Linked DNA regions of Bombyx mori. The protein of the gene in region 1 binds, or shares a complex with, the protein of each later gene. Links are inferred from orthologs where the notes say so. Each region holds a gene or a part of one and is shown on either strand. Other genes may lie near its edges. The genes, in order: general transcription factor IIE subunit 2 and DNA-directed RNA polymerase II subunit Rpb4.

What was found.
Region 2: general transcription factor IIE subunit 2 (region 1) and DNA-directed RNA polymerase II subunit Rpb4 share a complex: the UniProt entries of both Homo sapiens proteins name them as parts of the TBP-based Pol II pre-initiation complex. The link is inferred for Bombyx mori from reciprocal best matches to the Homo sapiens genes GTF2E2 and POLR2D.

What each region holds. Positions count from the first base shown.
Region 1 is NC_085118.1:15,266,964-15,271,243, reverse strand, and holds the start of general transcription factor IIE subunit 2, read right to left. Parts: upstream 2,998-4,280; 5' UTR 2,854-2,997; coding exon 2,792-2,853; exon of another isoform or gene 2,788-2,791; intron 2,060-2,787; coding exon 1,955-2,059; intron 1,131-1,954; coding exon 968-1,130; intron 511-967; coding exon 401-510; intron 1-400. UniProt on the Homo sapiens protein: Recruits TFIIH to the initiation complex and stimulates the RNA polymerase II C-terminal domain kinase and DNA-dependent ATPase activities of TFIIH. Both TFIIH and TFIIE are required for promoter clearance by RNA polymerase.
Region 2 is NC_085114.1:9,607,226-9,611,558, reverse strand, and holds the start of DNA-directed RNA polymerase II subunit Rpb4, read right to left. Parts: upstream 2,817-4,333; 5' UTR 2,707-2,816; exon of another isoform or gene 2,698-2,706; intron 1,900-2,697; 5' UTR 1,533-1,899; intron 1-1,532. Other genes in the region: uncharacterized protein LOC119628842, read left to right, coding at 3,153-3,201, 3,394-3,633, 3,811-3,969. UniProt on the Homo sapiens protein: Core component of RNA polymerase II (Pol II), a DNA-dependent RNA polymerase which synthesizes mRNA precursors and many functional non-coding RNAs using the four ribonucleoside triphosphates as substrates.

The DNA.
Region 1 (4,280 bases):
GGTCATCGATATTAGAGAGGTTGGTCCTGATGAGTTTGTAAATTTTTAAGTTGATTGGACATTTTGAAGTCGGGGGCAAAATGACTTTCATAGATTCTATTTATTACATATAAACAAACATACACAACACGCTTAAAATAAAAGTGTATAAGAGTAAGACAATTTTTTTTTTATTGCCTTTGTGGGCAGACGGGCATACGGCCCACCTGATGGTGAGTAGTTACCGTCGCCCATGGACTTCAGCAATGCCAGGGGCAGAGCCAAACCGCTGCCTACAATAAATGAAATGCAAATTGAACAAGTACTTTTTATTTATATGATTTTTGTCAGGTGATGATCTTTAAATCGTTTTCTAGTTACTACATTTGAATTATGTAAATAATGAAAATATTATACGTACCTCAGTAAAGATTTTTTATCTTTTATTTTATAAACCGGTTTGAAGTTAAACTTTCCATCCGGAGAGCATTCGATTTTAGGATTGCTCTGTAGGGCTTCTGTTTGTAGCCACTTGAAAATGTTTACAGCAGGTTATAAAAGAGAAATCAATTAAAATAGAATATTATTTATAAAAAGCATTTTAATCAATTTGGGTGTTGTGGTACTTGTGTGCTGGGGTATAATAATACTGTAATTAATGCCATCATTTTCCTAAAGTAATTACTCATGATTATTTTTATACATTATGTAGATACAGTTAGTGTTAATAGGGTGTCTTGTGAGCATGCAGGGGTAGATATAACCACACTGCCTATTTCTTTACTGAAGCATAAGCAATATAAAAGTGAGATTTAGAACTCATGTCTATATACTCCAGTAACTGCTTAACACCAGGTGGTTCGTGAGCACATTAGACTTAGTAATAAAATAAAAATTGCATTTATCATCAGCTATAAGAAAATGTGTGTGTTGTTGTAATTATTATTGAGGTAATTTATTTATTATTTCAATACTTATTAAAAGATACCTGTTTTATTTTATTTCCGACATCCAATTGATTTGTCTCATCTAAAATCTCATCTAAAGACAGTGGATGGTCATCTCCATCTTGATGCCTTGCTCTCATATGCCGTACAATACGCGCTAGCACACCAAAGCGATAGGACGAGCTGCCAGTCATAGTCTTGTAACTGAAAAGGATGATGATCAATCACAGATTTAACCAATAATTATAATATAACAAAAAATAATATTATTAGTGTTTGCTTATTGATCTAAATTCGACCATAATCATTGACACCTCAAGGTTTAGATTCAATTTAGTATTAAATTTTCCCTTTTGTTTCGTTACTTAGTGATATAAAAAAAAATCTAGAACTGTTTTCTGATAACACAAAAGCTCTTTAATAGCTACTAAATTAAATAAAAGGGAGAGTTGTCAAACAGAGAAAGAACTGGTATCTATATGCTCTATCTCAATATTTTATCCATTGTAGCACTAAATATGATCAATTCTTTTTTATATATTTTATAAGATTTTAGCAAATACACTAAATGATAAATTATTTTTTTAACAATAAAAAGCTCGCTACATATAGCCTGTATCAAGGCTATCATAATATAAATTTTCGAATTCCAAATAAATCCTGTGTTTTTTATTTTTCATAATTTTTTTTCCAAAGGCTTTTTCTAATTTTTTTTATTCAAAAGTTGATATTGCTATAAAAAGTTTATTAGTATTATTTAATAGAATTGGCGATTAAAATTACCTATAAAGCATAATAAATTATGGGAAGCAATGGTACTGATGTCATGAATAGATATTGCTGATATAGTAATTTGACCTAGTCAAAAGATAAAACTAAATGTGATTTCTAGTTTATTAATGAAAATAGCATTAGTAAATGATGCACATATTTGTTTATGCGGAACACAGTAACTATGTAAATTCAATAGTTATTTTGATAACAGAATATTTTAAATTATTAATTATGTTGCCCTAGCCTTTACTTACTTACTAGCATCAAGCTTTGGTCCGGAGCTGACTGAGCTGGATGATTTCGATTTCTTTTTGCTGTCATCTTTGAATTCAGAGTCATCCCTTTTCTTTTTTTCAATGCTGAAGAGAAAAGAATAATACTTTATTAATTTTGTTTCGTTCTAATTTGACAGTAACCTTTCGATGGGTTGAACTATAGCTCATGTAAAGTGTACTTTTATCAAGTGTGACTATGCTGGTATTCAAATACCATAGACCTGTATAATTTTTTCCACGGCAAAACATTTCTAACACGTTTTCATAAATGGATTATAAGATGAAGTAGCATTTTAGATAAAAATCATGTTTCAAAACAATTGGTGACATTCACATTATATCTAGGGGCTCAGGTAATCACTTAACATAATGTGGGCTGTCAGCTTGATCAGATTCTTTGAAAAAATTCATTACTTTAAATTAAATGAAACATTTTCCATTGTATTCTAATTTACCTAGGGCATGCCAGTCAATATAATCTTTAAAAAAATAGGGCCTGTGCCTTGATCATATTTATCTAGAATATTGGCTGCTATTAAATTAGGAAAGATATTATATCTTATTAACATTTAAATCTTCTACTTTTCTCTGCACAAGTGATTTGTTCACATTTCTACTCATTTAGTATTTCGAAACACATATTTCCATTCATAACTTTATATAATGACTCAGTAATGAATATTGCCACAAGGAAGTGAATTGATAGTAATTGTATGGGCTACGTGAGTGACAGAGAAAGTGTGCGATGGATGCCAGTATGTCTCCAATCATTGTTGTGGACTAGCGAATAGTTTAGTTAAAAATAATGTAACAGACCTCGGGGTCGCAAGTGCCTTCTTTTTAAACGCTTCCCGTTCCCGTAAGAGCGCCGGGTCCATATTTTCGTCTTTTAAACACAATCACTAAAAGTACGTATCAATTGTATTAGTATTTTGTTTAATTGCTGTTGTAATGTAGTCTATTTTCCACTTCCAAATCCTGTTTCTTTAAAATCCGGTTTGAGCAATTTGACATGTGACATATGACCATCTTTGACAAATGACGTGAGGGAGTTCATATAGAGTCCCTTCTTTATTTCGCCTGGTTGTGTTTTATGTAATTAACACCACAGTTGGAACAATATAAATTTTATTGTTGTAGCGGCATAAAGTAATTACATTAAATTGGTTATTATCACATTATAAATTATTTTTGTTTTTCATATTTTGGCGGTAAAAAGGTATTGTCACAGACTATATTCTTTTTCCCACATCTCGTGCGTTCCGGCTTACGCATAATAAAACGCCACACCACCCCCCTACGGAGAAGGAGAATCCGCAGAAAAAGAGAAAAAAATATCATAGGTCGAAAGGTTTGGAGAAGTGGACTCTGCGACCTGATCGGGTGGTATATTGAGGTGTATGCGTAGGAGTAGCAGTTAGAGGTGCCGAAGGCACGAGTGGACATGAAGGGACATTAGTAGCATCCGGTTGCGCTGGTTGAGGCACAGAAACCCGCGGTGCTGGTGCTGGAACGAGATCTACTAAAGAATGCTCGACGAAAGCTGGCTTAATTCTGTCGACACTGACCGTCACCTGTTTCCCTTTTACATCAATCGACCACGTTTTTCCGTCCTCGGCTCTAGATATAACTCTATGAGGACCAGAGTAAGGTGGTTGCATTGAACGTCTAACCGAATCCTCCCTGAGCATTACATGAGAGGCGGTGGAAAGATTTTTAAATATGAAAGGTGATGGTTTAGTGTGTGAGGAACATGGAGTGGGACGCAATTTAGACATACGCTGTCTTAACTTTACGACAAAATCCGTCGGGTCCTCGAAGCCAGAAGGACCGGGAGGTACTAACAGTTCCCCTGGAAGCGTTAATGTTTCTCCGTAAAGCAATTCCGCTACTGTTGCTTGTAGATCTTCTTTAAAAGCCGAACGCATTCCTAATAAGACCAAAGGTAATGCATTCAACCACGAATCATCATAACACATCAGAGAGGCCTTTAATTGTCTATGCATGCGCTCCACGAGCCCATTGGCACAAGGGTGGTAACTAGTAGTGCGTATACGTTTAGTACCACATAAATTAGTAAGGCGTCTGAAAAGGTCCGACTCGAACTGTCGTCCCTGGTCGGTAGTGATGACAGCAGGTACTCCGAATCGAGCAATCCAACCGGCTACAAAGGTGCTCGCCACTTCTTCTGCTGTTATTCCGTGCATAGGCCAAACTTCGGGCCATCGAGTGTAGCGATCCACAGCAGTCAGGCAGTATTGGAAGTCAGAACAAGATGGAAGAGGGCCTATGATGTCAATATGGA
Region 2 (4,333 bases), on another chromosome or scaffold:
TAAAGGAAGCTAGCGCGACAAACCCGTGCGTGTTTCAAGGCAGTACTGCCTCCTAATGAACACGGAAATGGAAATACGCTACCCGGTCGAGGGGGGTAACGGACCGGGTTATGTCGGACTCCGGCGCCTCCTGGCCTGGCCTCCTGAGAGGAAGAAGGGGAGAAGAGAAGGGCCGAGGTCCTTCACCTGCCCCAATTTCTCATAGGAGACTACGCCTTGAAAAAGGCGCGCGAAGCACTTACCCCGCAGAACGACTACCGACTAAACCCCATCGAGCTCCACCACACCGACTACACGAAACTTACGGTACCGCGATGCGCGCCGAAAGTCTCGCCTTAGGCGGTACCCGTACTAATGTTAAGACGGGATTTCATCCCCGGGAAAATCCCGTAGTCGTCGTGGCCTAACGGATAAGACGTCCGGTGCATTCGTGTTGAGCGATGCATCGGTGTTCGAATCCCGCAGGCGGGTACCAATTTTTCTAATGAAATACGTACTCAACAAATGTTCACGATTGATTTCCACGGTGAAGGAATAACATCGTGTAATAAAAATGAAACCCGCAAAATTATAATTTGCGTAATTACTGGTGGTAGGACCTCTTGTGAGTCCGCACGGGTAGGTACCACCACCCTGCCTATTTCTGCCGTGAAGCAGTAATGCGTTTCGGTTTGAAGGGTGGGGCAGCCGTTGTAACTATAATTGAGACCTTAGAACTTATATCTCAAGATGGGTGGCGCATTTACGTTGTAGATGTCTATGGGCTCCAGTAACCACTTAACACCAGGTGGGCTGTGAGCTCGTCCACTCATCTAAAAAATCTGTCTCTGTAATAAATTAACTTTTTAAACAAGATTTAAATATAAAACAGTAAAATTGCTCGTGTTTTGGATATAAAACTGCAAAAATATTCGTAAAATATCGAAAACCGAATCAGAGCACATCACTTTCCACCTGGTCTTGTCTGCCCTACCCCTAGAGTGTATATAAAAAACCGGAGGCGCGGAGGGAGAGCAGTCCTCGCCAATATTAGTTAGTATTTAAAGTATTAAGTACATTTTGGCAAAACTAGCTTCACATATCATTAATATTAATAAATTCAGTTGTCAGTCCTAAGCCTGAGAAAGCATGAAGGATTGTTTTCATTTAAAAAAATGTATTAAAACCATTTCATATGTTATAACTGTTCCTATAAGTGGACATATTCTATTTAAAACATTATTAAACCTGTTGCAAAACAAAACGCTGTTATATTGGAACAGGCTACTGGAACTGTTCTTTCGCTGGAACAGGAACAGGTGGAACAGGTCTCTAATTTCACCTGTTACAGACCATCCCTAGTTTGGACAGGCAAAGGGAGATTAGTCGATTTAGCAAAGGATTCTGTAATGGGAACTATCACGGAAAAAAGATTGCTCCAAAATCGCGAACAGTAGTTGGCTTATGTAAATTTTAACACCACGTTGCATGATTGAAAAATAATACCCACTAGATAAATTTTCCATTCTTACTTCTCAAATGAAAATAATTACCTGTGTCGAAACTATTCCAGCCTTCACACTTACACAATTATCACCTGATCAACTTTGACTACCGTGGCCCCGGCACATCTTACGTTCTTCGATAGTCTACCTACCTACTACTTCGATAGTATACTTAAGTGTCAATAAATTCCCACTATTTTACTGGAACATCTTTAATTTATTTCATCTTAACACGTTTCATTCCATTTAGTTTCATTAAATTTCATCCAGAGCATCCATTAGTCACGTCCACTGAACTCTCAGTTAATAATCCTTGTTTTACTGAGACGATTTTATTTCATCCCATTGAGGGAGTCCGTATAAAGTCCCTTCTTTATTTCGCGGGAAAATCGTGTTTTATGTAATTAACACCACACTTGAAACAATAGGAGTTTTATTGTTGCAGCGGCTTATACAGTTCTAAGTTATACCATTTTTTTTTTTCGTCCTTTAAATATTCAGCGGTAAAAAAAATTTTTTTGGGTATTTTATGTCCAGCTCAACTAAGACCTTTAGGTCATGTCTTATTTTAATTCATATTCTTAATTTTATGAAAAATTATATAATGGAAAGAAGTGAAATGCAATGAAGATGATTAATTTGAGACAATAATCAAGTAAGATGAAATTAAATATAGTGAGATGAGATGATATGGGATGAAATATAATCTCAGTAAAATGGTGGTCATTTAATGAAAGGACATGGGCCATTTTCGGCCCAGCTACTCGTGCCCTCAAGGACATTAATAAAATATCTATAGAAAAAAACATTTCATTTTTACATACTTATTATAAAATTTAAGGGTATTTTAATGGTGGGATAATCAAAAGCATAAATAAAAAGAAATACTTAAGCATGATTAAGCTACATTGATAATATTGAAGGAGCTGCCATGGGTAAAATATATTTATATTTTAAATAATTCATATTAAATCTTCTTAAAGAAAACAATGTATTACAAAAAACTAGCAAAATATATTAACATATTTAATCGATAAATATAAATAATAGATAAGCTGATGATGATGTTCGTTTAGTGGGGCGTGCAATGTATGGTCCATGTCCTTTTTTCAGTGGACTTTTTGGAGGATTCCGGGGAAGTTATGTTCAGCGGCTTTGTTGCATTTTCCCACATTTGTGAACTTTCACAGATATTAAACAGTTAATAAATCACCGTTATTACACATTTAAACCTGAAGAAATACTAAATCGACAAAATAAAACAAATCACACAACTTCACTCCTCGCGTTCCCGCCAAAAAGTCCCGGACTCCCGGCGGTAAAAAGGTCCCGTGTCACAGACTATCTTCTTTTTCCCACCTCTTGTGCGATCCGGCTTACGCATCATAAAACATCCTAGTTTCATATAATGTCACTCAAATTTAAAGACTAACATTAGTTAAGTTCATCTCATTTAGCTTCATATGAATTCTGATTTATCAGATTAGAATTTCTACGTGCTCTTTACGTAGAAATTATATTATAGCTGGACTAGAAGGTCTTGTAACCGCTGGCTGTAAGCCAATTGCAATATTGAAAAATTAAGAAGAACAAAAACACTTCAATTTTATTATCTACTTAGAGACTCGGCTAAAGATATTTATTTCAAATTTAAGTAATAAGTTCGTAATGTCCAAAACTCCAATAAAAGAATTGGCTATCAACTTTGTACCTAGAGGTAATTATTTACATAGAGTTTGATTTATAAACTATTATGGTTACGTTGCTGGGTATCAATATCACTTATTATCAAGTGGGCTGTGAGTTTGTCTGCCCATCATCGATTAAGAAGAAAAAGTTTAACAAACAAAATTTCTGTTGTCCATGTCGATTGAAATAGTAAGTAATTTAATAAATGATATTATTTCAGAGATTACAACTCCAAATAAAGACCAACCAGGCTTATCAAAGACTGTATTTTCACATGTGTCTTCGTTTCATAGTTTGTTAATTGATTGGGTCAAACTAAAAGATAAAGGTTCTAAGTTTTGTAAAGGGATCTCATCAGTGAAACTGCACGAGTATAATGATGATTATTATCCGCACCTATTGAAGCCATTGACTGAGGGCTTAGTTGAAATTATAGATAGCTTTCAAAATATTATCGAGGGTAAGTAAAATGATGTATGTTAGTCTAACAATCAACTACAATATTGGAGTATGTGAGACTACTTTTAATAATGTTACAGTTTAAACAATTTAATGGAATGGAATATACATTAACTTTCTAATCAATCTAATTCTAATGCAAAACTGAACTATGTCATATTTAAATGTTTCATTTCAGGTATAAAAATACTAAAAAATCAACTGGATTCACTATCAAAATTGCAGTCGACTGACCAGCCAGTAATTTTGACATGGTCAGTAGGCCGAATTCATGCTTGTGTTAAAAATACATATGAATCACTCTTAAAGGAGTACAAACTAAAAAAAATTGTGACAGGTGAAAATTATTATTATTTATTGAAACATACTGGTGGTAAGACCTCTTGTGAATCCGCACGGGTAGGTACCACCACCCTGCCTATTTTAGACGTGAAGTAGTAATGCATTTCAGTTTGAAGGGTGGGGAACCTGTTTTAATTATACTTGAGGCATTAGAACTTATATCTCGAGGTGGGTGGCGCATTTACGCTGTAGATGTCTATGGGCTCCAGTAACCACTTAACAACAGGTGGGCTGTGAGCTCGTCCACCCATCTAAGCAATGAATAAAAACAACATGCCCGTGATTACATTAGAATTCTAAGACAAGTATTCCCTTTTTTAAAACCATTCAATTCTATGCAGGCCTCCAAAATAATTAAT